4 linked regions of the Pelodiscus sinensis genome follow. The protein of the gene in region 1 purifies or fractionates together with the protein of each later gene. This does not show direct contact. Links are inferred from orthologs where the notes say so. Each region holds a gene or a part of one and is shown on either strand. Other genes may lie near its edges.

Evidence for each region.
Region 2: the proteins of PPP2R2D (region 1) and SERTAD4 purify together in Homo sapiens (affinity purification with mass spectrometry; 3 studies listed by BioGRID and IntAct, counting the BioPlex papers as one, with this or other methods). This does not show direct contact. The link is inferred for Pelodiscus sinensis from reciprocal best matches to the Homo sapiens genes PPP2R2D and SERTAD4.
Region 3: the proteins of PPP2R2D (region 1) and CDCA4 purify together in Homo sapiens (affinity purification with mass spectrometry; 3 studies listed by BioGRID and IntAct, counting the BioPlex papers as one, with this or other methods). This does not show direct contact. The link is inferred for Pelodiscus sinensis from reciprocal best matches to the Homo sapiens genes PPP2R2D and CDCA4.
Region 4: the proteins of PPP2R2D (region 1) and ECSIT purify together in Homo sapiens (affinity purification with mass spectrometry; 3 studies listed by BioGRID and IntAct, counting the BioPlex papers as one, with this or other methods). This does not show direct contact. The link is inferred for Pelodiscus sinensis from reciprocal best matches to the Homo sapiens genes PPP2R2D and ECSIT.

The regions. Positions count from the first base shown.
Region 1 is NC_134718.1:47,487,881-47,495,371, reverse strand, and holds the start of PPP2R2D (serine/threonine-protein phosphatase 2A 55 kDa regulatory subunit B delta isoform), read left to right. Parts: upstream 1-4,490; 5' UTR 4,491-4,655; coding exon 4,656-4,662; intron 4,663-4,992; coding exon 4,993-5,079; intron 5,080-7,491. UniProt on the Homo sapiens protein: Substrate-recognition subunit of protein phosphatase 2A (PP2A) that plays a key role in cell cycle by controlling mitosis entry and exit. Involved in chromosome clustering during late mitosis by mediating dephosphorylation of MKI67.
Region 2 is NC_134713.1:145,014,303-145,021,241, forward strand, and holds the start of SERTAD4 (SERTA domain-containing protein 4), read left to right. Parts: upstream 1-3,931; 5' UTR 3,932-4,754; intron 4,755-5,032; 5' UTR 5,033-5,045; coding exon 5,046-5,184; intron 5,185-6,688; coding exon 6,689-6,804; intron 6,805-6,939.
Region 3 is NC_134714.1:17,435,365-17,442,470, reverse strand, and holds the start of CDCA4 (cell division cycle-associated protein 4), read right to left. Parts: upstream 3,009-7,106; 5' UTR 2,876-3,008; intron 2,398-2,875; exon of another isoform or gene 2,236-2,397; intron 1-2,235. UniProt on the Homo sapiens protein: May participate in the regulation of cell proliferation through the E2F/RB pathway. May be involved in molecular regulation of hematopoietic stem cells and progenitor cell lineage commitment and differentiation.
Region 4 is NC_134729.1:12,699,233-12,706,422, reverse strand, and holds the start of ECSIT (evolutionarily conserved signaling intermediate in Toll pathway, mitochondrial), read left to right. Parts: upstream 1-4,168; 5' UTR 4,169-4,273; intron 4,274-4,852; exon of another isoform or gene 4,853-4,973; intron 4,974-5,061; 5' UTR 5,062-5,175; coding exon 5,176-5,292; intron 5,293-5,847; coding exon 5,848-6,250; intron 6,251-7,135; coding exon 7,136-7,190.

The sequences.
Region 1 (7,491 bases):
AAACTGCTGAGTTCTGTTGATGTTATGCTTTTTTAGGTTTCCATGGTTAGTATCTAAAAGAATCATGCAGTGTATTAAACTTCATGAACTGAGCTTGACTGTGCTCATCGAATGATTTGATTTTGACTCCATTCTATATCATTGTTAACTCATGGGCTTATTAATTCAATTCCCATTGTAACATTGATTTGATAACTGTGTTTAGTTCATACTTAGTTCAGTAAAAGGTGTAGTAATTAGTTTTTTGCTGGAAGTTTAATTTTCAGTTTGTTTAATGTGTAATAAAATCCAGAAAAATACACAGTACTGTTTTCTTTTCTTTTCTTTTCTTTTCTTTTCTTTTCTTTTCTTTTCTTTTCTTTTCTTTTCTTTTCTTTTCTTTTCAAATTACAAGGGTCATGAATCTTGAGGGCAAAGGTAATTTAAATTATACATTTCTTAGCCATGGTTCTTCCCTTAAATCAGGGGTGTCCAAACTTTTTTCAAAGAGGGCCAGATTTGATGAAGTGAACATGCTTGAGGGCCGACCATTTTGCCTGACATTCTTTGAACCATTAAAATTAAATGCAAATTAACTATTTTATGCAAAGTTTATTGCAAACGGCATACTTTTCATTTCGTCACATGGATGACAAATCTAAACAGGTGTTAAATCACTCTGCCTTTCATATGAAAAAAAGGCCAGATGAAAAAAAAAATCCAGGAAGCTGAAATATATGTCAGGAACATTGTAAAGTACATTACATATTATTGGTAATAAAGGTTGTCTGTCAACTTTTAAGTTCAAAAAATATGAACAGGAACATAACACCAAGTATACATGTTGTGTCCAAATATATTTATAACTGATTTAGACCAACTGACATTAACTGAGATTTTACAATGTATTCATCTCAATACATATGGATTCGTTGGGGGCCATAAAAGATAGATATTGCCAAATTACCTGTGGGGCCGTATTAAACCAGAACACGGGCCGCAATTGGCCCGCTAGCCGGACTTTGGACATGCCTGCCTTAAATTAATACCTATGTACCACATATCATCCAATTGGACTTTTGATAGGACATGATACTAACTTGGGTGGTTAAGAATCTCCCTTGGACATGGGAGAGAGGAAAGATGCACTGCCAAACATTTCCAGACATTTCAGTGGCCTTTGATATTGCTGATCACAGGGTGTTGCTTAAATCATTACAAGACATGGCATAGGTGAACAGAAACTCACTCTGTTCTGAAAAATCCCACATAATGGTTTGGGGCAATCGCTCTCAGCAGTACAGGCCCCAGGCTCAATCCTAACACCTTTTTTGTTCAACATATGAAGTATCTCTAGATCATCAACCATATGGGCTGTGGTGTTCTCAGTATGCCTAGTTTTATAGCTCCCTGTCATTCACCCCGGATGTAACATCCCTTGAGAGCTGGAATCTGAATAAAAACCAGCTAGCGAAAGCTCAGTCTAAACCAGTGGTATGCAACCTTTTTTGATCTGCGACCCCCACACTGTGGGGGCCACCAACTGCTGGGCCCAGCCCCCGGCCGGCCAGAATTAAGCACCATGCCACGGGGGCCGCCAATGGCCGGGACCAGCTCCCGGCCAGCTGGATCTAAGTGCCATGACCCTCCAGGAAGACATCTGGAAATAAAATGTAGCCTATAATGCAGACATTCACATCCTGCTCCTAAGAAGGATTTGTTGATTTTATACTTGTTTGAAAACATGTTAATATAAATATGAATTGAAATCACAATAGTGCATTTGTCCTACATTTATAATATCGACATGATTTTGTCAGAACAGAATGGAGATTTGGGCCTTTAGATAGCCAACACCTGCTGCCTCAGAGATGGAGCTGGCTCCCACATTAGGAAGGCCTGATAAGGGTCACCCTGAAGGTAGGGTGGTGTGATGGTTTCTGGAGTGGCTTAGGGACTAGGGCATTTACCTAGGGAATGCAGGGTGGTAGACTCAATCCTACAGGCACAGGATAATATGCCTAGGTGGACCCCTGCACTCATGTGGAGCCAATGGTTGCACCTGGATGGATAGGGGCCAATATTATTATTTCATGTTGTATCATTCCAGGCTGTAGTTTAAAAAAGAAACTTTTTAGAACAGAAAAGTCATTTGGCATTAATGAGTAACATGCAATGTCAGCGGTATGCTAGATTCAATTAATTGAGGATTAAAAGATGTTATGAGATTCTAATATACACTGACATCATTTTCCTTTTAAAAAGGAAAGATTCAGGGCATTTTCCCATGGAAGTACTATTTGTGTTGATTTCAGGATCCTGACCAAAGAAGAAAGGAGAGCAGCAAAATACATACCCTGGACTTCAGAAATGCAGACTTTGACTCTCTCAGGAAACTGATGGGTAGGGTCTCCTGGGATGCTAACATAAAGGGGAAAGGAATCCAGGAGAGCGGACTGTATTTTAAAAATGCCTTACTGAATGTGCAGGAACAAACCATCCCAATGCGCAGTAAGGTTATCATATGTTCTATAATATTGATATGGCTAATCTCAAGATGACAATGGAACCTCTTTCAAGAGGAGAATGAAGGGGAAAAAATCAAAACAAGTTTAATTCTAGGAAGAATCATAGGCCCTGGTTCTCACGGGGGACTTGAATCATCCTGGCTACGTCTACACTGCAGGGTTTTTGAACAAAAATGGCCATTTTTGCACAAAAACCTGCAGAGCGTCCACACCTCGAATGCGTTTTTGCACAAGTCTGTAAAATGGCAGAACAGAGGGCTTTTTCTGGTGAAGGTAAGCCTCCTCTTATGAGGCATAACTCCTTTTTGCGCTACAGCTATTGCGCAAAAAGGCAAGTGTGGACGCTCTACAAGGGTTTCTTGCACAAAAGGAGCCTATCCAAAAAAGCACAGGTGCTCTGATGGCCATTCTGTGAATGGACATCAGATCTTTCTTACGCAAGAGCATCCATGCAGTGTGGATGCTCTCTTGTGCAAAAGTGAATTGCAAAAGTGACACACTTTTGAGGTGTAGATGTGCTTTTGCACAAGAAATTTTTGTGCAATTTTTCCACAAAAGACTTCTTGTGCAAAACCCCTGCAGTGTATACGTAGACCGTGACATCTGTTGGGAGACCAATAGAGCAGTATACAGACAATCCAGGAAGTTTTTGGAAAATGTTGGGGATAACTTCCTGGTACAAGTGTTGAAGGAACTGCTACTCACAAACAGCGAGGAACTAATAGGGGAAGTAGGACGGAGAGAGGCTATACTCAGTAGTCACAGATGACAGAACAAGGAGCAATTGTATCAAGTTACATTTGGGGAGGTCTAGGTTGGATATTAGGAAACATTATTTTACTAGGAGGGTTGTGAAGCACTATAATGGGTTACCTAGGGAGGTGGTGGAATCTCCTTACCTAGAGATTTTTAAATCCTCGCTTGAAAAAGCCCTGGCTGGGATGATTTAGTTAGGGTTGGTCCTGCTTTGGGCAGGGGGCTGGACTCCATGACCTCCTGATTCCAGCCCTGATTCTAGGAACAGTGTTACACCTTTTAGTGGCCTTTGATATTGCTGAGTATGGTTTTGCTGAAATGACTTCAGAAGCTGGTATGAGGAATGGAAACACTAGTACAGATCTGCTCACTCTTTCCTGATTGATTTCTCAGGGTAATGTTGAGCAACTGTTGTGCAATACCATGGCTCAATCTTGTCCATGCTGATTCTGAATGGAGATGATGTTTGCCTAGCCTTCTCAGCACTAATCCTTTTCCTACCAAATTGGGGTCTCCCTCACTTTTTTTTTGCCTCTGAATTTGGCCTCCATTTCAGTTTATCCAACATGAGCCAAACAGACAGAAACAGGGTTAGCTAGTGTTGTGTTTAAACACAGTAAGGACAACACATCAGCCTTTCCAACCCATCTGCTCCTCTCTTGCTTTGATTTACAACGTCCCCATACTTGTAATCTCAGCCTGAACGGAGTGTTTTCCCCTCACCTGGTCCTACGGGGGCTTAGTTTGTGATGAAAGCAACACAGGAGCTCCAGCAATATTTTTACTTTCATTACTGACAAACCCAGCTCAGCCTCGGAGTGGCATAAATCAAGCGCTGGGGGATACCTGTCTCCCACACCCCCGCCTCACGGAGGCTCCCAGTCGCCCCAGCGAACCATCTGTTCCGCCGACCTTCCCAGCTGTGTCCCTGGGTGGCAGCCTCCTCCGCCTGGCCCGGCCCAGCAAGCCCCTCCGGCTGCGCTAGGGCGACCGGACACAAGTGTGACCAATCTGGACGGGGGCAATAGGCGCCTACATAAGAGAAAGCCCCGAATATCAGGCCTGTCCCTACAAAACCGGGACATCCGATCAGCCCAGCTGCAGCCTGACCCCGCCAAGTCCCGCCACGCCCCTTCAGCTACCCTCGTCCCCCCCGTGTAGCTCCGGCCCCGCCCGCTTCCTTCCCCGCCCGGCGCTCCGAGCTCCCCCTCCCAGAGGGAGGCAGACGGATGACGTCACCGGATCAGGCCGACCGGCAATGGGCGCCATTTTGAAACCCCAAAACCTCCAGCGGCTGCAGCTGTGTGCGGCGGCGGCGGCTCTGACCTGGTCCCGGTCGGCGCCTCCCCCTCGTGGGCCCCGCAGGCCCCCGCCCCCCACACAGTGCGCGACATGGCAGGTGAGAGAGACGCACGCCGCGCCGCGCCCGTCAGCGGGGGAGGCCTGGGCCTGGAGCCGGCCTAGGGCAGGGGCCGGGCGGAGGCGCTGTGCCTGCGGAACCCGGGAGGGCAGCGCGTCGGGCCTAGCCGGGCAGCGCGGATCTAGGTCACAGGGGGCCGAGCGGGCTCCGCGGGGCCATGGGGAGGCGGGCCTGGCCGGGTTTGGGGCCGAGTGCGGAGGTACATGGCCGGGTGGGTTATGGGTCAGGCCAAGCCTCCTGAGAGTTAGGTGCCCTCGGCCGGGTCGGGCTGCCTTCGCCGCTCGCCCTCATCGCTCGCTGTCTCCGCAGGGGTGGCAGGTGGCGGCGGCGGCGGTAACGACTTCCAGTGGTGCTTCTCCCAGGTGAAGGGGGCTATCGACGAGGACGTGGCGGAAGGTAAGCGCGGGGGATCGGGCGCTGCGGCCCTCGGTTGTGCAGGAATCGCCGTGTCATAGGGGTCCCTAGCCGGGGGTGTCAGTGGTTCCCTGTCCCTCGTTCGCTTTAATCCACCCCGGACACCACCTATTCTTGTCTAAAGTGTCCGCTTCGCACAGAGAGTCGCTACAATTCTCCCGGTGCTGCCATTCTCTTGCCCGGTGTGAATCCCGGAGGATGCGGTGTGTGTGAGGGTGGAGGAGGGGTGCGATGACTAAGCTGCTGCCTGTGCTTTTCACAACGGCTTGCTCTCACCAGATAGCATGTCAGAGAAGGTGTCTTCCTCCTCATCATCATTTATGGTCACCAGCGAGATGGGATATCGACAGTGATAAAATGGGGGAGAAAAAAGTAGTCAGACGTGTCAGGCTTCTGTCTCACGCACAGAGGGAGGCTCCTTCATTGGGGATTAATTTCAGAAGCAGTGTTTAAAATTTCTTTGTGGCAGTGAAGGGTTTCATTCTTATCTGCTGATATTTGAAAGCTATAAAGAAGGAGGTTTGTGTGGCAAATAGGTACCTTTTTAAGTGCCATTGAAATGTTAGACTTGCAGAGCATTTGGGGATGAGTGTTATGATGATAAACATTTTTGTTTTAAAAAGTAATCCCTTCTAAATAGGCAAGATGGACATGTAGAGTGTGCTATATGAGTTTCAAGGAGTTACAGTCTTAGGTTTTTTTTTAAAGTCTGACATGTTCAGATTATTCCAATTGAAATATATGCTTGTAAAGAGGATGTCATGAGGGTGCATACCTTTTCCTCGTGTACTTGAGTTTCTACTACATGATTTTTTTTAAAAAAAATCCTCAAACTTTAGCTACTTATTTGTGTTGTTTTTGGTTCTGGAATGACTTTTGAATGCATTTTGCTTGTACCTAGTCTGTTTCATTCATATTATTTTCCACTGCAAAAATATTAAGAAGTTTTAGTTTTCATGTTACTTTTGTTTTGGAGTTACAGCATTGGACCCCAAATGCCTGACATGGAAAGAGACTCAGTTGCCTAGGGAGGTTGTGAAATCTCCGTCGTTGGAGATATTTAAGAGCAGGTTAGATAGACATCTATCAGAGATGATTGTAGATGGTCTTGCTGTGAGGTTTTGATGACTTCTCGCGGTCCCTTCCAGTTCTAGTAGTCTATAATGCTTTGGATTTTTGGAGCAGATAATATTCAGAATAGAGATGGGAGTATGCATTTCCTGATTTTTCTATTCTTGTAACACATTCTAAAGTTTTGAGCTTTCTGGTATTTTTATTTAATAGTCTCTGTTTCTTAAGTTTTTACACTGATAAGGTTTAAAGTGCCATCCCTTCTTATATTTTAAGAAACAAGTCAATTTTGGCAAAATACTTATTATGATAAAATTGTTCCAGTCACTGTTGATTACCAGCATATTTGTTGTTTATATTCTCTCCTGCTATTTAAAAAGTAGAGAGCATGTGTTTATAATCACATGCTTTTCCCTTTCTAAATAGCCAGTAAGTTTAACTACCTCATTCAGTGATTTTGTAACATCAGAATTCAATGTGAAAGAAATGTGTGTTATCAGAGCCAGAAGGTATTGGCAACTTGGAAAGACTTAAGCTCCATTCCTTCACGTAGTCAGTATGTAATAGGAAAAACCATATCACTATAACTTAGAAAACTCTAGCAATGTACTTTCCACCTCTGGGTGTGATTTTTAGTACCTATTAAATCAACAAGAGTTCTGCCTAAGTGAAAACAGAAGCACCTGTAATGGTCTCATTCACTTTAGTATCATGAACTGCATTAAATCTGGCAGAGATCTTGGCTTATGGTGGCAGAGTGTTCCCAAATAATGGCCTCTAGTATTGTAAGGCTCATGTAATTCTGGCCTGTGCAATCTGAAAGTAGACAGTACATCCATTAGCAAGGGTACAGCCAGGGTTACTAGGTAATATGCTAATTCCGCTTATTTTTGAACAATCCACCAGGAGGTCTCCTGTTTAACACATCATGTCCATTCTAAAATTGGTCTTTGATGGTGAATTCCACAGAGGATGATGGCAATATTTGCTGCAGTATAATATGAGTGAATCACCCTTGTCTATAGCTGGCCTATTTATTGGCATGAGAAGTAAGATCCAGGCTGTGTTCAGCCCCATTCCTTCAACTGTGCTTTTTGCTTAATTTTGTAAAAGTTTACCAGTGTGATATTTTGGCTCTTAGCTTTCTTTCTCAGTCTTTTGGCTAAAATTTAAAATGTAATCAAATAGTTAATAAAATGTTGTCTTGTCAGTAAAATTTGAATAAGCTGAAAGCATTATTTCTAAAACAATAAAACAATTTTATTTTACTAAAATTAAATAGAACAGTGTCATGAAATCATTTGTGACTTCAGATGAGGGGCA
Region 2 (6,939 bases), on another chromosome or scaffold:
TGTTGGCACATGCAGATGTATGCCCAGTAGCTTGTATCTACATTTCCATATGAAGCAATGGAAAATCACATGACTGCAAGGCCCTGCAAGATTTTGTCCTCCCCCGACATAACTAGTCTCGTTTCCTCCTTCTACCCTTCTTCCCCTTGCACTTTTCTTCCACTTTACTTTTTACCTCAATCTGCTTCATACCTTCTGGCTGAAAGAGCTTCCTTTCTGTCTGGATATATCTACAGTACAGAGTAGTCCACACTTGCAATTGTGTTCTTCCACAAGAAAATCGAAAGAACAGAGGGGTTTTCCTGGCATTGGTAATTCTCATTCTATAAGGAAGAAGTCTTTTTGCGAAGGAGCTCTTTTGGAAAAAGGCGTGTGTGGACGGGGAAGAGGGTGATCTTTTGGAAGAAGATGAAAGAGGAAAAAGCACAGATGCCCTGGTGGCTATTCCAGCCATAGCAATCACAGCTTACATGCCAGAACATCCATTCAAACTGGACACTCTTTTGAAAAAGCAGATCGCTTTTTCGATGCACTTTTGCAGTGTGAAAGCTCTCTTTAGGAAAAAGATGTTTCAGAAAATCTCGTCTAGAAAAGGTTCTTCTGAAAGAAGCCTGCAGTCTAGACGTAGCCATCTGTGACCTACCTTCTCTCTCTTTTCAAACCAACCTCCTCAGGAAACTCCTGCTTGCTTCTCTTTAGAACAGCCCCGCCTTTCCCTACACCTCATCTGTGGGCAAGTACTTTGTCTTAGGCCGTGGGTGTTTGTTCGTGTGTCCCACCTCAAGCTGGGCAGGGCCGGGACCAGCTCTGCCCCGCGATTTGCAAAGAGAGGGCACCTTAGCTGGGCAGCTCTATGAGCATTTTATGAGCAACCTTTCCTTCCGCTCCCACGTGTCCCTCTCCCCGCGCAAGCCCACAGCTCCTCCTGGGAGCCGAGCGGTGACCCAGCAGCGCCTGGGACTTTCTGCCGCTGTGGGCTACAGAGCCGTTCTCCCTTCGCTTCGGGCTCTCTGAAGGCTTCCTTCCTCTGGCTGCCGCTTCCAGGCTGGGTCCGCGGCGGCCTGCGGCCCCACCCGGAGCGTCTCGGCCAGCGCGCCGCGTCCCCTGCCGGCCTGGAGCCTCGCCCAGCGCTGTTCCTGCAGCTACCGCCACTGTGGGCTTGGGCTCGCCGCCCCCGTCCCTCCACCGCCCTGCCCCAAGTGCCAGCGGCTTTTCGGCCTGCGGCCCGCTCCGGCCTGGCTTTCCCTGCGGGCCAGCTTCCCGCCGAAGCCTCCTTTGCACGGGCGCGGCCACGCCCCGTCAGACCCGCAGGGCCCAGCCCTGCCCAGAAACCGCCCGTGCGGCTGACAGCTCCGCCGGAGACAGGGGCTCGCTTGCGCTCAGCGGCCAGACTCGTGCACACCCCTGCGCGCCTGGCTGCGCTTCTCCCCTTCCTCCCCCCGCGTGGCGTGGCAGGGGCCTTCCTGGACCGCAAGCTCGGCTGGGCCGGGGCTGTGGGTGCCGGGGATTGGACTGAGCCCAAGGCGTGGTGCAGCCAGACCATGGGGTCCAGTTTACTTCTTACCTCCCTGGCTCGAGGGCTGTTCAGCCCCGCTGGGGGGCGCAAGGCGCGGCAGTGCTTAGAAAGTCCGGCCGGTGCCCTGCGGCCTGGCCCCGAACCACACGGCGCGTAGAGAGACCTGAGCTGTGTAGGCAGGGAGTAGCCACGGTAAGTCGGTTTCTGTCCCAGTGTGACCCCCGCAGCAATGCTGTAACAAGCGTTTGACAATAGCTAATGTCTCAGAGGCATTCCCCGAGTGCACAGAGCTCTTTCCCTGGCATTGCACCAAGCTTCTTACAAAGGGAGTGGCATCCCCGGAGTTTTCCGATTGGCACCAGAGAGCCGCTGCAGGAATAGCGAGTGCACATCCTAGCAGATGGCAGCAAGCAGTAATGTGGAGTGGCCTTACCATATACAACTGCGTGCGGAGAACGGCTGACGTTTAACCTCCAGGCCGCTGTAGGTGCCTCAGGGTGTCCTACTGCAGGCATTTGGCTGACAACGTGGGAAGGATGTGGCAGTGTACGGATTAAGGATTGGAGTCAGTAAAAATGCTACGGAACCCCCACAAGGCTACACAATGGATTGGTTTGGCGGTTTTTTTTAATTGTAGCCCTAAATGTCAACCTTTTGCTGCCGATTCGTGTAGTGACTGTAATGTACACTCAAGTATACATAGTGTGTCCTTTTCTAGCCGGTTGTGTTGGAAACTCACTATTCTCATGATTTTCTAAAAAGGCTCAATGACCTAAGTGCCTATTGACTGGAATCCATAGTGCATATCACAAAGTAGTGTTAATGGATTGCCAAGGTGACTGGGAGACTAGGGGAACTGGGTTCTAGTTCTGGTTGTGCCACTGGTTCGCTAAAGGCCTTTGTCCGAATTCTGTCGTCCTTACTCAGGGTGAATGGTACTTGCCCTAGCCTGCAGGCAGTCACGATGAAGTCCCTATTTGTGCAGTCAGGTATTACTTACCTTGAGTTACTAGGGAAGCAGGATGCTTTAAGACATTATTTTTCAAATATGCCCTTTGATTTGGAGTCTCCCTATAGCCCTCTGGAGCCAGCTATTCAGAGGTTCTGAGTACCGGCAACTTTCATTTAAGACAAGTGGAGTTGGGAGAAGTAAGGGCAGTTCGACCTCTGTGCATGTAAAGTAGTTCCTCTGCTGCAAAACTGGAGATGGTGACACTTTTGCAAAGTATTTTGAGATCAGCAGATTAAATGCTCTGTGCTATGTATTATTATTTATTATTATTATTATTATTATTTATGCTTTGTTTTTATCCTGTTATGAAATGTTACAGAGAACACATTTTGTCCATGGACAGTAGCAATTTATAAAAGTTAAAAGCAATCAAACTATTGATTGTGTATGTTCTAAATAGCAGGCACAGTTAATTTACTTTAAAAACGGCAACGTTGTATTTTTCAAGATGAATCTGTTTCTACTCTGAGAACTGGGCAGAAAGCATCCCTGTCTGTTCTTTTCGTGTGTGCGGTCTGTGTATTTGTGCTCAAATACAGAAAGCACTGTTTGAAATGAAATAGTTTTTTAAAAAGCAGGGTTGAAAACTTATATTCCACATTTCATTTTAATAAAAACATCTTATAAATCAGCATCTCTCGTGGATACCTTTTTTGACAGAAGTTATTACATGCAGAGAAATCATGACCTGCTAGACTATCCGTTGTTTTTTAAGTTTTTCCAGTTACCGACTAACACGGCTACCCCTCTGAAGCTTTCTCCAAAGCAGTACAGGGTCTCTTCCAAGCCTCTTTTCTCTAAGGACAAATGCGAAGTCTTGACATAGTGCCAGCATCAGGAAACTGATGTCTAACTGTGAGTGACTGTTCAGATTAATGAGTAGATCAGTTCATGAGTGCTTGCCAATGACAGCATAATCTTTTTCGGTAGCATATATATTTGATTTTTAGCTGATTCTCTGTGCTGGGTGAGACTGACTTTTTCTTAGTCGGGATCAACTTGTCCATTTGGGGGCACTCGAATGGTAAATAAATAAGCTACAGTAACTAATATAATACAATCTGCGAGGCTAATAGGTCGTGGTCAGTAATTCCCTGTGCCATTGGTTCTTTCTCCAGTAAAAGAAAGACGTAATTAATATATTATCATTGAAAGTATGAACTAAAAATACATTGTGTGTTTCCCAGTGTCTAGGAGAATTCCAAGCCACATCATAATTTGGTTTCCCGGGGCGAAGTTGAAATTGCACCTGTTAGCTGGATTCTGTAGTCTTTTCTCAGCCAAAAACTCGCACATACTTTAGTTGAAAACCCATTTGACTCCCACTGTTCAGTTTGAAGTGAACGTGAATTTTTGCGTGAGTAAGGTCTACAGGATTGAGCCATCAGAGTAGCTAGCAAGTCGATACTTGTCCGTTTCAGAAGCAAGTGGCACTCCTGTGCATTTTCACTGTACCTGACAGATGTTAATGATTTGTTTTTCATAACTGCTCTCTTCTACAGCCTCGCATATCTTTCTCCTGTCGGGCAGTGTTTAATTGGTTGCACTTTCAATCGCTGGGACCACAGACACCCCTCTCTTCACCCTGTCCCGGTTCCCTACTGCCCTCCCCTTGGATCCCTGTCTTCCTGCAGTAGCACTGAGCTGCGAGGCGCAGGAGGAGGAAACGAACTCCAGCTTTCTTGGCGAGGGGCGGGGCGGGGCCAGCTCTGTCTCGGTGCATTGTTCTGTGCTCCAGTGCCAAGATGCGGGGCCGCGGGGGGGAGTGAGCGGTGGCCCCTCTCCGAAAGTTTGCGCGCTCTCTCCCTCGCTTCGCTTTGGCAATGGGAGGCAGATCGCTGCCTGGCCCTGGCCCTGGCCCTGGCCCTGGAGTCCCCGCTCCTGCTTAATATTCTGCCTGCTCCGGCGATGTTGTGCTTGGCTCCTGGGGGACTGCAACTCCCGGCTTGAAACGGCAGCCAATTTTCTGTCTTACTCTCCCAGTGTTTTGACTGGAGGCAGATCCAGTTCCGTCCGATCGGGGCTAGTGGAAACAACTGCCTGAGCCTCTCGGTGTGTGTCGCTGGGGCTCCGGGAGAAAGCCGCCCCCCGGCCCCGCGCGATGTGGCTGCCGCGGCCGGGCTCCTAGGAACAAGCCCGGGAAGCGACTGAGCGGATTTGACCCCGACGCGCTGCGAGCATCGCTCGGCTCGGGTCTGCCTGGCGGTTCTTCACGAGAAGAGATCGGTGCGTGGCTGGGGGGCCCTGCTGCGAGTGAGCTGGTCACTCAGCGGAGCGCGGGGCGTCCCCGCGGAGAGCACCAGGCACCTGGGTGCAGGCAGGCGGGGCGGGTACGGGGAACGACAAAGCCCGGGATCCAGCCAGGGAGAGCGGGAGCCAGAGGCGCGCTGAGCCGGCCGGGCAGGGGCGCTGGGGCCCGGCGCGAGAGACGCTGGGAAGCGGAGGAGGCAGCCGCCGGGCTCTGGTCCCACGGGCCTCTGACCCGCTGCGCCTTCTGCTTGCAGGGAGAGGGCAGCGATGACTCTGGTGCTGTCCATGCAGCGGTTCTGCGGGCCCGAGCTCGCGGAGTACCACACCCCGTGGGAGTCGCACTGTGGCAGCCAGGCCAGCCCCGCGGAGCCCAGCCGGGCCGCGCCGCAGGGGAACAGGACGCCAGGTAGGCACGGCAGCTGGGCTGGTGGCCGGGGGGAGGGAGGGGGCATTCCCCGACGCGCACGGTGAGCCGGGCAACATGAACGGCAGTATCGCGCCTCTGGGTGTATCCAAGGCACCAGAGCCCGGGGCCGCTCGAACATGCAGCTACTTTCATTCATCCAAGGGGGGAGGGAGTGCCTGTGTGTGTGTGTGTGTGTGTGTGTGTGTACAGATGGCAGTAATTTCAATTTCACCATCTATGGAAGCATAGGGATAGGTTGGAGACTGTGGCCCGGGGGAAAATGATTAAAGGTAATGTTTGAAGTGAAAATTCACACGGAGCATAGGTTTAGAGCAGTGGTTCTTAACCTTACTGCAGCCTGCAACCCTGTGGTTCTCAAAATATGTTCTCGCACCCCTTCTTAAAAATCGTTGAAGTAGGTCAGTTCTTTAAACCTAAGATATATCATAAAAATCTGGTATGTCTCACACCTCCAGAAAGGGCATCTCACACCCCCAGGGGGTGCATGCACCCCCAGTTAAGAACCACTGGTTTAGAGAAAAGGCTCTGTACATCTGATTCATGCTTGGACTCTCTAGAATTAAAAAAGACTTGCTTAGATAGTCACACCATATTATCCTACAGTCACTCTCCAAAGGGGTAAAAGTCACAACATTTTGGCTAGCTGTCATTTCTTTTCTACTGACTTTAAGGAATCCTGCTCATATTTGGTTATAATAACAAGAGATTTGTCATAAACACAATATATGTCTTGGGCTTTCTAGAGTCTTTCTTTAATGTGGAGTGGGAGGAGAAAGGAGTCCAAACATGGCCATCTTTCTTTACATAGTTGCAAAGATAAAATATTACAAAATTGTATTGTAACTATTCTGGGTGCCAATTAATAAAAATATTGAGTAATGATGGTTCTATAAAATGTATTTGTCCAAAGACATGTTATCTTTTCTTGTCATGAAAGGTAGTAACAAACTCTTACCTTTGGTGGAGTATATCTGATCTTTGCTTTCGTCAATTATATGTTTCCATGTACATTTCTGGTTTTACACTAAGACACAAAATGACCAACTTTTGAAACATTATTTTAAACTACTAAATCTTATTCCAGATATATGGAATATATTTAGCAATTGTAAAATAAAATTTCACCTGTAATTCATGGTCCCTGGAATTTGAACAGGATGCGCTGGTGAATGCCGCTACTTGTTGGACCTGTAAACTTGGGATGAAAATTTTATTAAAGAAAAATATACAGAGAATGTCTAAGTATGCCAGACACACAAATGTCTTACAGTGTCTATCACAAAGAGCTTTAATTGCTCGTGCTAGCCTATTGCATCACGAGCTATTTATTCGTATGGTAAAAAGTTTATTTTGATCACTGCAAATATATATAAACAAATGTGGTAGACTTATCTTGTAGTGAGAAGGGAAATTAAAAGTATTTTGTTTGGAGAACCTCAGGCAAACCACATGTCATTTGTCATATCTGATTTATTACCCACAGGATCACATTACAGGGGAATTTCAAATCCTATAACAACATCCAAGATCACATACTTTAAAAGGAAATATGTGGAAGAAGAGGATATTCATCCATCATTCAGCAGCTGTACACATAAAGTATGTTTTTAATAGATGGGTTTTTTTTACTGGGCATTTCAGATATTTAGTAACACTTGCTTGACTCATTTCCAGAAGTTGAAATACTCCACCCAGATGATGAGAATAGCCCAGCTGTTTGCATGGAAACAAATA
Region 3 (7,106 bases), on another chromosome or scaffold:
ATCAGGAGTGCCAGACCACTGTTTACCAGACAATTGGAGTTTTACGGTACATAGGAAAGGACAAAGTGATACTGCAGAGATGGACGGTTTCAGCCTAGTCAAACTGCAACTTCAGTAATACATACTAAAGATGAAAGCGACTACTCGAGTAGTCGACTACCTGATAAATTTAGATTTATCAGGTAGTTGAGTCACTACTACTCACGTTCCCCCACCTTTGCTGCCTCTGTATCAGAGGGAGGGGAGGGAAGGAAGTAGGACCCAGTGCTGGGGGGAACCCCAGCTGTCCCAGGGCCACCCCAGTTCATGTCATCCTGCTGTGGCTCTGCGGCAGGCTCTTACTACATTGAAGATGCAGAACTGCAGTGGTCCTGGAGCTGGCACAAGTTGGGACTGCTTGGTCCCGGCTCATACTGCCCCCCGGGAGCAATTTACATTTAAACTACAGAGCCACAGAGGCAGTAGCGAGCACTCCCCTCCCCCCCAATTGACCAATCCAGTAGTCAGGGGAATAACTTAATTAACTGCCACTTAACATCTCTAATACTCACAGGGAAAAATAGTTAGCCAATGCAAAGCAATGATAAACTTGACCTGTTGCATGTAATTTTAGGTCATTCCCAGGAACAATTATTTTTGCTCCTGAGAACCAATAGGTTCTCTTTGTATCCTCTTATTAAGCAGAGTCCTATTTTTCATAGTTATAGGGTAGCAAAGCCTACTATAGATTTGCCCACTGACATAAAATTAGGGTTTGGGGGCACAAATTGCAATTAAAAAAACCTGAGTTTTTAACCTCTTGCTTTTAAAAAAAAAAAAAAAAATTAAAAAGATCTTGCTGTTTTTCCTGCATCTGCACACAAACCATAGCTACGAACAGGCATTCATAGCAAAAGAGTGTTAACTCTGAAGTGTATGGACATATCTACACTACAAACTTAAATCAACCTACAACCCCCAGAGTGACCACACTAGCCTCCTGTCAGTGGTAAGTGTCCTCACCAAGAGCACTCCCACTGACTAAAGAGACTCCACAGAGCTCCCCTACTGGGTACCCAGCTGCCCCTGGACTTCTTGCCTCCCCAATTCCCAGCTGGTGATGTGGGTGGGGTGAGGAGAGAGCTACCTGGGACTTCATCTCTGGCAGAGAAATCCGAACCTAGAGTCCAGTTGGCTGCTTTGCTCCTGGTGAGGAGTCAAGCGTCCTGTAGGAAGCCAGGAGCAGTCTGTGCAGCCAGGCTTGCTGCACAGACCAAGCAGCTAGAACTCTGGGGGGAGAGGGCAGGGCAGGGCAGGGCAGAGAAGCAAGAAACCCAGCAGGAGCTTAGGTGGCAGCCCAGTTTGGAATGAAGACCTAGGGGTGAGAGTGACAAGACTACATGTCACCCTCCCTACACTGACATAAGCTTTGCAACTCTCATGGAGGTCAAAGCGGTGGTGTACATTTGTATTGGTGGGACCAAGGCTGCACTTAAATAGTTAGATTGACATAAACTGCCTTATGTTGCCCTGTGTAGTGTAGATCGGGGTTCATAATTGTAAATCTTGTTTCTCTGCTGATCACCAAAATAGAGCAATTCAAGAAGTGTACTTGGTCCACTGCTGTTGGACAGTGACAAACGAGGAGAGGTCAAGTTGCTGTCTGTTTAGAAGCTAGAAAGTTGAAGTCCCCTGCCCCCAACAATTTCAAGTAAACATTAACCTCATCTAAAATGGGGAAGCACAATTTCATCCTTTCGTGAGCACTCTACATGAGTGCCAAAGCCCAAACTGTTCCGTTTTCCTGTGTGCCAAAAGCCCCTTGATTTGGTAGTTAATCTCCTTTAGCTACTACAATTCAGAGGCGCCAATACAAAAAATTGCAGCACATGGGCATCTGAAAGCTGGAAGAACAGATTGAATTCAATAGAAAAATAAGTAGTTTGACGAGCACATTTAATTTACAATTACTTGAATGGGGCACAGATCTTCAAATTTGCTGTAGAAGCCTTGCCACGGAATTTTAGGTACCTATTTTGCAAAACTATAAATGGCAGCGCACACCAGACAACATTTCTGAAATACAATAGCAGAGCAGAGCCTGGGTTTGGGGGGGGGGGGGGGGGGAAGCAGCCCTTACCACCAGGGTGGCAACAGCGCCAGGGGGTCACCCCCATCAATACAGGGCGGGGGCAGGAGAGTACAGGGCAGTGAGGAAGGGGACAAGATACAGAGACGATGCAGTGGACAGAGGAAAGGTGCCAGCGTGGTGATGGAGCAGGAAACGCGCAGAGGTGCGTAGGTGGGGGGGGGGTCAGCCCCCCCGATTACAACTATCCCCCACAGGGGCAGGGCAGCGACCCCTCCCCTCCGAGGCAGGACTAGGGCTGGCAGGAGTCTCTCCCAGGAGCACACACGGTACGTGGCGGCGGTGGCAGACGACGGGGAGGGGGAGCGTACGGGAGGAGTTGCGGCCGGCGGGGTTCAGGCGCTGGGGGGCGGCGGGCGCGTGGGGGGTTGCGGGCCAGGGGGCACTGGGGGAGGGCCGCACGCCGGGAGGGGCAGCGAGCGCTGGGCGGGAAGCGGGGAGGGGGCGCGAAAGGGAACAGCGAGCTCAGGCTGCAGGAGGCGCCCCCCGAGAGGCGGCCTAGCCCGCTCCCAGGAGACCCTGGGCGGCGGCGGCAGCTGCTGCTCGTCGCCCCTCTCTGCTCTGGGACCCCGGGGAGGGGGATCCGCCGCCATTTTGAATCCGCTCCCCACCGCGGGCTCTTCCCCGCCCAGCCGCTTCCAGACCGGTGCCCCTGTTTCGCTGCCGCGGACTAAGAGACGATCCCCGGGGGAAGGGGGGGGCAGCTAATCCCGGGACCGCGGAGCGCTTCGGCCCGACCCCACTCACCTCCTCGGCGCCTCCCGACCCGCGCCCGGCTCCCGCCTCACCGACTGCTCCGCGCCTGAGAGAAGGGGCGGGACCAAGCACCCCCGCCAGCCCCGCCTCCTCCCCGCCCGCCATCTTATTGTCAAAGCCCACAAAGAAACGGTCGTTTGCCCCCTCCCTACCCGGCCTGCCATTGGGCGATGCTTCCACCATGTAGCCACGCCCACAGCGAAATCTTGGTCGTCATTGGCAGTCTCCTGACCGTAAAGCACCACCCACACGGCATCCACCCTTCCATTGGATGACGGGTTACCATGGTGCTCAGCCCCACCCCACCCCCCTCCAACGTACGACTGGTTGAGGGGTTACCATAGAGCCCATACCCGCCCCTTAGCTGTCATTGGCTGAGGAAAAGAGCGAGGTGGAGTTTAACGTTCAAATAGCTGCCAATGGGCTAGGCGGGCCCCCTGCCTCTGCCTATTGACGTGACCAGGATCCTGGCCACACTGGCTCCAAAGCCAGCACGAGTGGGGCCTGCCCGAGAGCAGCCCGGGCTCTCTCCTCCCTGCTGCCCCGTGGTGGCAAAGGAGCCCCTCCCCCCTTACCCAGGACCCTGCCCTACTGCTGCATGGGCTCCTCCTGCACATCATGGCTGGGCACCATGTGCCCTCAGCTCCCAGCTTGAAATCTAGTGCATGGCACATGCTTGGCTTTTCCCTTAACAGCAACACCTCTGCTGCCTGCAGGCAGAACCCCAAGGGACCATCCCCACAGCCTTAGGGGGGTCAGACTATGGCTCAGCCTGCTCAGTTTCCTGTTCTGGCAGTAGCTGTTGCTAAATGCTTCAGAGGGAATGAATAGACCAGGGCAATTATTGAGTGATCCTTCTACACTGCAGGCGTCTTGCCCCAGAACTCTTTTGCAAAAGTCTGCCGCAAGAGCACATCCGCAGTGATGTGCTTTTGCACCAAGAGCGTTTTGTGGATGTTCTCTTACCCAAGAAAGCTCTGATGGCCATTTTAGCCATAGGGGTTTCTTGCACAAGAAAACCCTATTGCTCATCTGTACTGCCTTCTTGCGCAAGAGGGCTTATTCTTTGTGGGGAGAAGAGTAACTCTTGCACAAGAAGCCCTCTGTTCTGATGCTTTACTGTAAATTTACTTGCGCAAGAATGTGCGTGCAGTGTAGACGCTCCGCTAGTTTTCGCACAAGAACGGCTGTTCTTGTGAAAGAAGCCTGCAGTGTAGATGTAGCCCTCCAGTTTTAGCTTCTAGCATAGGGTTGCCAGGTGTCTGGTTGTCAGCTGGAATGCCTAGTCAAAAATAGGGATATGATAGTATAAGGCAGATGTGGGGAACCTCAGGCCCCGATGCAGCCCCCACTGCTCAGTTCCCTTCCCCCTAGTATTGGGAAACCTGTGCTGGCTCTTCAGTCCCCCTGCCGTCCCATTGCAGGGCTGGAAGCACACAAAATCTACTAGGCTGGGCCTCCCTAGGCTCTGGTGTGCAATGGAAAGGTGGGGAATGTCTCTCTCCTCATTTGGGGCTGTGTCAGTGAGGGGTTTTTGTTTATTTTGCTTTTGTCGTGTGTGGCCCCCTGACCAAAAAAAGTTCCCCTCCCCTGTGAACAGTTAACTAATGATCTTGGTTTTATCAGTTAACCTGTACTGTTACACACAGCCCCTTCCCCAGAAGCGTGGAGGGTGGGGAGCCAGATTTTAAGCAAGCTTCCTGTGAGCACAGGCTTCTGGGAAGCTACCTCTCTCTCTTTCTTCCCCCCCCTCCCCCCCCCCCCCCCCCCCCCCGCCGCCTCTGATTGAGAGGTTGCAGCACAGGTGGGAGTCAATACACGTAGGAAGGCTGATTTTAAGCTGGCTCCTTGTAGATTACCAGCAACCAAAGAGCCACTCCTTTCCATTCTCCCCCCATGCTGCTGCCTCTGATACAAGGATGTGATCACGTAAACATGCAACTGATACCTTGGGCCCACTGACTAGATTGTTAAAAGTATGATTGGTGGTGCAGTGGGTCAAAGGCAAGCTCTCTGCCTGCCTTGGCTCTGTGCAGCTCCAGGAAGGAGCCCCCTCCTCTGAGCAATGCGAGCCAGGGATTACTGGGAAGCCTGCATTTACCATGGTAGTGGGAGGTGGAGCAACCCTGCAGCCTACTTTGCTCTACCCCAGTGCCCTCTCCCAGCCCACTACACTTAGCTTCACTGTGGCAGTAGGAAGTGCCCTGGGGCCGAGGCATTCTGTTCCTGCTGCCAAGTGCAGCAGTCTGGGATAGGGCAGCAGGGTGGAATGGAGCAGGTTGCTAGGTTGCTTCTGCTCCCACTGCTGCCGTGAGTGGGAAGGGGGTGACCCCTTCTGCTGCCGCATGGCAGGCCCCCAGGTAATACCCTGGGCCCTGTCCATCGGATGGTTGAGGTAGCCGTTGAGGGCCCCCCCCCCAAAAAAAAAACTTTGGGGTCTGGGGCAGACACCCTGAACCATCCTATGTATGGGACGGCTTTGAGGCTTGATGTTGTCCCCTACAAACACTTTGTTCCTAATGCTTAGCTGCTGTATTTCCCCAGCTCTCTACCTGCTGGTTGGCTCTCAACTGAGCAGAAAGGAAGGGCATGTCGGGTCTAGTTCCTGGCTACTTCTGAAAGGGGGTGAACTGCAGCAGCTGCTTTGCTGCTTCTGGCTCTGAGCTCTTAGAAAGAGGATGTGTGAAGGAAGGGTGGGGAGGAAAATGTAGGACAGAAAATTAAGATCCTAAAAGAGAGCTGGAGGAGCACAGACTGTAGGAAGAGCAAGAAATAAGATAGAACTTGGAGATTAGGTGCAGGGAATGTTCAAAACAAGGTTGTACTCTGTGCATGCCATTATCAATTAGGCAGAAGTCTGAAACAATGTAGGCTACAGATGTTAATGTCTTTTTTATACTTGGCTCTAACCTGCACTGTTCTGACCACAGCATGGTGTAGAATTCCCAGTCAAAATGCTAAAAGAAAAGAAATTGATATCAGAGGAAAAATTGTCATATTCAGACAGACACACCAATTCCTTCTGGCCTACTTGCAAATAATGTGGGCCCTTATCCGTCAGTAAGGCCTGAAAGGACTATCCTTGTGCTAGCATAGAGTTCTGTTACTGGGTTCAGTAGGTGTGTTTCTTTGCAGGATCTAAACAATAAAAGTAAAGTGTAAAGTGATAACAAAGAGCATAAACATATACATATACATATACATATAAAGACAATATACATTTTTCTCCCTTAAAATTATCTTCTTTTAAGTTAGAAATATTAGATCAACATCTTCAAACTTTCAAAAAGCTCTCCAGCAAAATAAGAGACATTGTTAGTTTCTCATATAACAAGAGACTGAACAAGGAAGGTGTTTTACTGTTTAAAACTCTGAGGCCAGGTCTATTCTAGGATCTGGAAGGTTGGCTTACACAATTCAAGCTACATAAACAAGCTTGGTGCTGTCTCCACAGCAGGTCAACAGGAGCAAATGCTCCCATTAGCTTCCTTTACTTCTCTTGAATCAATGAGTACCCGCACCTACCAGGGGTGACCTTAGCATTTGATTTAGCTGTTCCTTACTAGACCTGCTAAATCAAAGACCAGAAGATGTATCTCCAGTATGGCAAAGGGTATATCTAGACTACATGCCTCTGACGACAGAGGCATGTAGATTAGGCTACCCGGCATAGAAAAATGTAGCGGCGATTTAAATAATCACCGCTTCGTTTAAATTAAAATGGCTGCCGCGCTGTGCCCATCAGCTGTTTGGCGGCACAGCAAGGTAGACTGGACGCTCCACGGTCAACATCAAAGGCATTCGTCAACCGCCCCGGTAAACCTCATCCCACAAGGCATAACGGGGCGGTCAACAAATGCCTTTGATGTCAACTGCGGAGCATCCAGACTACCGCGCTGTGCCGCCAAACAGCTGATCAGCATATCATGGCAGCCATTTTAATTTAAATGAAGCAGCGATTATTTAAGTAGCTGCTTCATTTTCCTATGCCAAGTAGCCTAATCTACATGCCTCTGTCACCAGAGGCATGTAGTCTAGACACACCCAAACTGATATAAGACCAGAGAGAAAAACTCTGAAAGATTCAACCTTCTAGCTCTTCAGATAAGGTCTGAGGAAACTCCCATGGCAGTCCTCTAGCCAAGGACTGACAAGACTTGATATTTTTAGGGGAAAAATATAAAGGAAACTCAAGGATTGTTTTATATGTAAGAAACAAAAC
Region 4 (7,190 bases), on another chromosome or scaffold:
GAAGGGTTAGGGGTAGGTTTGGGGGTTGGGGGTTAGGCATTAGGGGTAGGGGAGGGAGAAGGGTTGGGGGTTAGAGGGTTGGGGGTAAGGCATTAGGGTTAGGGGAGGGGGAAGGGGTTGGGGGTTAGGGGTTGAGGTAAGGCGTTAGGGGAGAGGGAAGGGTTAGGGTTGGGGGTTGGGGGTTAAGCATTAGGGGTAGGGGAGGGAGAAGGGTTGGGGGTTGGGGGTTAGGCTCAGCATTGGCTGGCCTGGAAGGTCTTTGGGGCAGGAACGGCATCTTTGTTCTGTGCTGGTGGTCCTGGCCCTGGCCCTGCCCCCAGCCCTGCCAGTGCCCCTAATGCACCTAATAAATGGTCAGCGCCTGGCATCCTGGGCCATGCTCTGAGCCCAGCAGCCCTCCCCGATGCTGCCATTATCCCTGCTCCAGGCCTGAGCCTGCCACTGATCTGTGGCTCCAACCCCTAGGCCTGACTGCCTATGGCCCAGTCGGCGAGGAACAGTTGCATTGGTGGGGTGCCCAGCCAGTGGCGGTGCTGCAGTGGAGGCTAGGAGGGGGCTGTGGCTACCTGAGGTTTTGCAGAGCACTGGGTGGGGGGCGCTGGGTTTTCCAGGTCCCGCTTCGGTGGGCAGGGGCTGGGGCAGGTCCCTTCTCCACCGAGGCGCCTGCGGGCAGGCACCGCGTGGCTGGGCGAGGCGACAGGAACAGGCTCTCCAGTTAAATTGCCCCCTGCTTGCGCTGCCAAGGCCAAGCGGCCAAGGCTGGAGAACAAAGCGGCTGTGGGCCGGAGCCAGGCCAGGGTGCTGCAGGACAGCAGGGTCACAAAGGCTGCTGCCCCTTGGGCCAGGCCCTGCGGGGTGCAGCTGCCAGCACCAGATCTCTGGGTTCACGCTAGGCTGGGGGGGGGGGGGGCTCACACAGGCTGTCACGTGGCTGACTTCAAAATCTGGAATGAATGGGGGAGGGGAAATAGGCTAATGCCACGATCGGCCTAAGCGGGGGGCCGGACGCCAGGGCCCTATCCCAGCTCCGGGGGTGGGAGTGCGGGTTACAGGAGGGCACCACAGGGCGCAGGGAAGGGATTTCGGGGTGGCCCCGGGGCACAGGCGGGGGTGGGGGAGATGCTCCCATTCAGCCATTCAAGGTTTCAAACCCCCAGCGCTGTGGAGCATGTGGCTTAAATAATCCAGCTCCTGCCACCTTCTCCTCGCTGCGCCCGCCCCGCCCCGCCGCCGGGTTAATGATTGGCATTTGGGCAGGCCAGGAAGCAAAGTGGGCAACTGACAAAGTGGCAAAACTCGCAGCCGCTGTCCCAGCCCAACCCTGCCTGGGCTCAACAGCCAGCCGGGTGCAGCCCCCTGCCGCCGTGGGGTCTGCCGGGCGCATGCTGCAGCCCCATGGGAAAGGAGCCCTGATTTCATGGGGTCTTGCCCCAGTCTCCCCAATGCAGCATGACAATTTTGGGGAAAGGGGGTGGGGCCAGTCCTGCCCCCATCTCCTTCCCCCCAGGCAAGCCAGCAACCCCTGAAGGGAGCAGGATCTAGTGGTTAGTGTTGTGAGGGGGTCAGCTTTCCAGGGTTCTATTCCCTGAACCAACAGCTGCTCCCAGCCCCCACTCCTGGGGCACAGCCCCCACCCCCCTGGCTCCCTCTACATGGATCTGCCCCCCCCAACTCCACCTCCTGGGGCACAGACCACCCCAAGGATCTGGTTCCTCCACTCACGCCCTGGGGCACTGCTCCTATTGAACCCGTCAATCACTCCCCCCCCCCCCCCCGCAAGACACAGCTTCCCCATGGATCTGCCCCCCTCGGACTCTCCCCCACTTGCCCCCCCGGGCACGGGCCCCATGGATCTGCCCCGAAATGCTTCCCCCAGGTCACAGCCCCCCCGGCTCCGTGTCCCCCTCAAGTCACAGCTCCCCCATGGATCTGCCCCCCTCGGACTCTCCCCCACTTGCCCCCCCGGGCACGGGCCCCATGGATCTGCCCCGAATTGCTTCCCCCAGGTCACAGCCCCCCCGGCTCCGTGTCCCCCCCAAGTCACAGCCCGCCCAGGGATCTCCACCCCCAGGCTCGCACGATCCACTCACCCGGGACGCTGCTGCCCCCGGCCGAGGGGCGCCGGCTGCTCGGAACCCCGGAGCACCCGCGGCCACCCAGGCGGCGGTTCCGCGGAGCTGCCACATCCCAGCCCAGAGCCGCCCCACGCCCAGCTGCTGGCTCCGACAGAGGGGCTGGCCAGCGCCCCCCGCCTCCACCAATCCCGGCCCAGGACACGCCCCTTCTGGGGCTAGCCACGCCCCCGCCGCGGGAGCCGGCCAGGTGGCAGGTTCGAAGGTGAGGGGCGGGTCCGCTCCCCGCGGGCTCGCACTGTCTGGGGAGGGCAGTGGGGTGTAGCAGTTAGATGAGGGGGGGCTGGGAGCCAGACACCGAGAGGGGTGGGGGTGGGGCTAAGGACCAGGGTGCCTGGGGTCTAGCTCCAGGATGGGGGGACCCCGGGGCTGTCCCCTGAACTCGCAGCTGCTCTGTGGTTAAAGCAGGTGGTTGTGAGGCAAACTTCTGGGTCTATTCTTGGCGCTGAGAGGGGCATGGGGTCTAGTGGTTAGGGCCAGCACCGCCTGGGTTTCCATTCTCACACTGCCCCCTCGTGCGACCACAAACAGGCCCCAGCCCCTCCTTGTGCCCCAGTTTCTCCATCTGCACAATGGGGACAATACACACATCTCCGGGCCATGCGCGTGCAGTGCTTTAAAGAGGGAGCCGCTGCTTCCCTCGGTTGCCCAGGCAGCGTCCCCGTAGTCCCTCGCTGATGGAGGCCTTACAAAGCCCTGCACAAAGGGATTGCACAATCCAGCTCCTTCTGGGGTGGAGTCTTTATCCTGGGATCGCTCATGCAGCCCAGAGGTACAGTCACCCAGGGGGTGGGACCCAGCGGCTGTTCGTGCAGAGATACCCAGTGCTGAGATGCAGCCAGCTCTGGGCAGGGGCAGGGCAGGTGTTTAGCACAGCAACAGGGGCCTCAGCTTGGGGGAGGGAGGGAGGATGGAGCCAAGCAGCCCCGAAGGAGAGAACAGGACTGGGGGGGAAATCAAGCAGGAACATGATGGTCCTCTGTGTTGTTAATGAAGCTGGAGTTGGAGGCCTCCTCAGCAGTCTCCAAACCCTGCCCCTGTCCCTTCTGTGGGGGAGGGGAATCCAGGGTCGGAGGGGTGGGGGGGGGCAAAGGCAGGGCCGCATCCTGAACTGACCTCAGTTCCGGGCTCTGCTATAGAATCCCTGAGTAATGTCTGTGCCTCAGTTTGCCCATCTGTGAAATGATCGGACTTCACAGTGATCATCACTGTGGGGGCAGGGACTGTCTATACAGCACCTGACACAATGGGGCCTGATCTGGGGGATGGAGGTGAAGGAACTTAAATAATAACAGAGTCTTGTGCCTGGCTGTGGGTTCTGTCAAACCTCCCTGCAGGTCGGTCTCCCTCCCCCAGAGTCTGGATGAGAGATGCCTGGAGGGTGAGGTGGGGTGGAGTGGGGTGGGGAGAGAGGATTTGCACCTGGCCCTACCTGAGTGACTCAGGGAACCTGCCAGTCCAGGCACATCTGAGGCTGAATGGCCCTGGCTAGGCAGCTCCCAGGCTCGGATTCATCCTCACCCCAGCCTGGGAAACCAACGTTTAAACACAGCATAAGAACAGTCACACTGGGTCAGAGCCCAGTGTCCTGTCTGCCCACAGTGTGGATCCCAGGTGCCCCAGAGGGAGGGATCACACCAGGGAATTATCCCCCTCCGCTGTCACCCATTTCCAGACAAACAGAGGCTAGGGACACCACCCCTACCCATCTCTATTGTGAGCCCTGGTAAAGTCCTGGCCTTCACGTCCTCAGGCGAGGAGTTCCACAGGTTGACTGTGCGCTGAGTGAAGAAAAACTTCCTTTGGTTTGTTTTCAACCTGCTGCCCATTCACTTCACTTGGTGGCCCCGCCGTCTAGTGTGATGGGAACAAGCAAATGGCGTTTCCTCTCCGCGGGGGAGCCGGGAGCAGGAGGCCGGAGGCCGGGCTCCCCCCGCCGCTGGGAGTGAGGGGACCCAGGGGTCCGGGCTCCCTGCGGTGGGGGAGTAGGACCCACGTGCATGACTCTATCCCAGCCCGGGGCGTGGCTGATCGGACGGGGGAGGAGCCTGGGAGGGGGCGGGGTTTAGAAGCGCCACGTGTGCTTGGCCCCGCCCCCTGACCCGGCAGGGATTGGAGGGGGCCGCGGAGACGGCGGCGCGGTGAGGAGCCCGGGTCGGACACGGGGCGCGCGTGGACGGGAACCAAGCGGGGGGGGGCATGGCCCGGGCGTGGGGGGATGTGTGGGGCGGGGGGGAGGTTTGGGGGGGGCGGGGGGCATGGCCCGGGCGTGGGGGGATGTGTGGGGCGGGGGGGAGGTTTGGGGGGGGCGGGGGGCATGGCCCGGGCGTGGGGGGATGTGTGGGGTGGGGGGGAGGTTTGGGGGGGCGGGGGGCATGGCCCGGGCGTGGGGGGATGTGTGGGGCGGGGAGGAGGTTTGGGGGGGCGGGGGGCATGGCCCGGGCATGGGGGGATGTGTGGGGTGGGGAGGAGGGTTCAGGGGCTGGGGGCATGGCCCGGGCATGGGGGGATGTGTGGGGTGGGGAGGAGGGTTCAGGGGCTGGGGGCATGGCCCGGGCATGGGGGGATGTGTGGGGCGGGGAGGAGGGTTCAGGGGCTGGGGGCATGGCCCGGGCGTGGGGGGATGTGTGGGGTGGGGAGGAGGGTTCAGGGGCTGGGACATGCCTGTGTGGTGCTGGGGGGCACCTGGGCAGTAAACGTGGGCAGGGATGGGGATGTTGGGGGGATGGGTGGTCTCCCCACGGGGGATAAATGGGAAGCTAGGTAAGGGGGGAGGGGAGGGAGACAGAAGCGGCGTGTGTGGACTCCTATGGTGGCCATGAGTGGGGACAGCCTGAACAGGTGTTAGTCCCCCCCCCCCCCCCCCCCCCGATTTCCTGACCCTTTGCGCTGCTTCAATCTCTACATCACCTCTCTCTGTGTCAAGCAGACCCTGGCCGCCCAGCATGGCTGCCCCTTCCCCATGACACTGACTCTCCCAGCTGCAGCGGTGGCCCCACCCTAGCTGGCCCCTGCCCCGTGTCAGTGGGACAAACACCCCACCATGAACTGTGTGCGGAAGCTGCTCCTGGCCCGGGAGCTCTCTGCCAGACCAGGTGTCCTGCGGCAGCTCGCTCCGGGGCTGGATCTCCTGCGGCTGCAGGGAAGCAGCTGTGCCCAGGTACCAGGCGTCCCTCGGCAGGCCAGGGTGCTGGGCGCCGGGGGAGACGCGTTCTGCATGGGCGCTGCCCTGAGCAGCTGCCAGTCCAAAGCAATCTGGCTCAGGCGGACGCCTCGGGCAGCTTTGTAAACCTCTCTGCCCCCTTGTTGTTGGGTTGCCCCAACCTTGCTGCCCAGAGGCTGGCGGGAAATGATCGTGGGAAGGGCTGAGCGCCCACTGCAGCTGGGGGAGCGAAAATGAGGTAGGGGGCGGGAGGGGGAAGCGGGAAGCAGAGAAGGGGGGGCAGCGGTACCTGTCCATACAAGTGACATCACCATGGATCGGTGCAGTGGACAGGAGAAGCCAGGGTCACTGTACATGGGCTGCTAAGCAGCCGGCGAGTGGTACCGGTCGCTGCAGCCGGCCTGGAACCCAGGATCCAGCGCCCGAGAGCCAAGGGGACGGTGCTGCAGCCAGCGTGGTGCCGATCTCAGGCCTGACCCCAGCCAGAGGACTCTAAGCCCCAGGTAAAACGACAGCTGCTACAGGCCTTGTTTGCCTCCGCTTCTCTGCTAGCGCTTCTGGCCGGTGCCTGTGCGGAGCCATTCCAAGTTCACCCCCGCAGTCAAGGGGGACCAGGAGAAAGATGGAGAGTCCCGTGACGGCTCCCTGGTGCCCTTGGAGGAGCTGTTTGATCGGGCTTGCAAGGGGGAGCGGAACAAAGCCGCCTTCACGCGCGCGGTGGAACTCTTCTGCCAGAGGGACGTCCGGCGGCGAGGTCACATCGAGTTCATCTACGCGGCCCTCCAGAAGATGCCGCAGTTTGGGGTGGAGCGGGAGCTCGACGTCTACAACAAGATCCTGGACGTGTTCCCCAAGGAAGTGTTTGTGCCCCGCAATTTTATCCAGCGGATGTTCAACCACTACCCGAGGCAGCAGGAATGTGGGATCCACGTCTTGGAGCAAATGGAGAACTATGGTAGGGATGGGGATGGGCAGCAGTGTGGGCGACTGGGCTGGGCTGGGAGTCAGAGGCGGGTGAGCGATGGAGACGGCACATTCACTGGCTCTACCGCTGTCTCCACGAGTCGGCACGGGGCATGTTTGTCCCTCTATGGCTGGGAGGTAAAATCCCACTTGTTTAGTTGACTGGTTAACCGGGGGTGGGGGCTGTTGGCAATTTTGGGGAAAGGGGGTGGGGCCACGAGGGAGGCTTCCCCACTCCCCACAGCACTGTCTCTCCTGCCCCCCCTCTCCTTCCCCCCAGGCAACCCAGCAACCCCCGGGAGGGAGCACGATCTAGTGGTTAGTGTGTGTGTGTGTGTGTGTGGGGGGGGGAGGGTCAGCCTTCCAGGGTTCTATTCCCTGAACCAACAGCTGCTCCCAACACCCGCTCCTGGGACACACACCCCGGCTCCCCCTACATGGATCTGTCCACCTCCTGGGGCACAGACCACCCCATGGATCTGGTTCCCCCACTCACCCCCTGGGACACCATCCCTACAGAACCCCCTGTATCACTCCCCCCTGCAAGGCACAGCTCCCCCATGGATCTGCCCCCCTGGCCTCCCCCCCGGGCCCCATGGATCTGCCCCCAGTTGCTCCCCCCAGGTCTATTTGGGCTGGGAATTGGCAGCCTGGGGAGGGGAGAGGAAGGTGGCTGCTGGCTCCCAGCCTGCCAGCAGCCCTCCTCTCTCCCCCTGCCGGATGCGAACCTGCTGACTCCCAGCTCCTGAGCCCTCGCGGGTTTGGCGTCAGCAGCCTTGCACGGAGGGGAGAGAGGGTCGCCCGTGTGCATCCCTACTCCGTGGCGAGGGCGGGTGAATGTGCCATCTCCACCTCGTCTCCCTCCCAACGTACGCAGGCATCATGCCCGACAACCAGACGAAGTTCCTGCTGCTCCAGATCTTTGGCGCGAA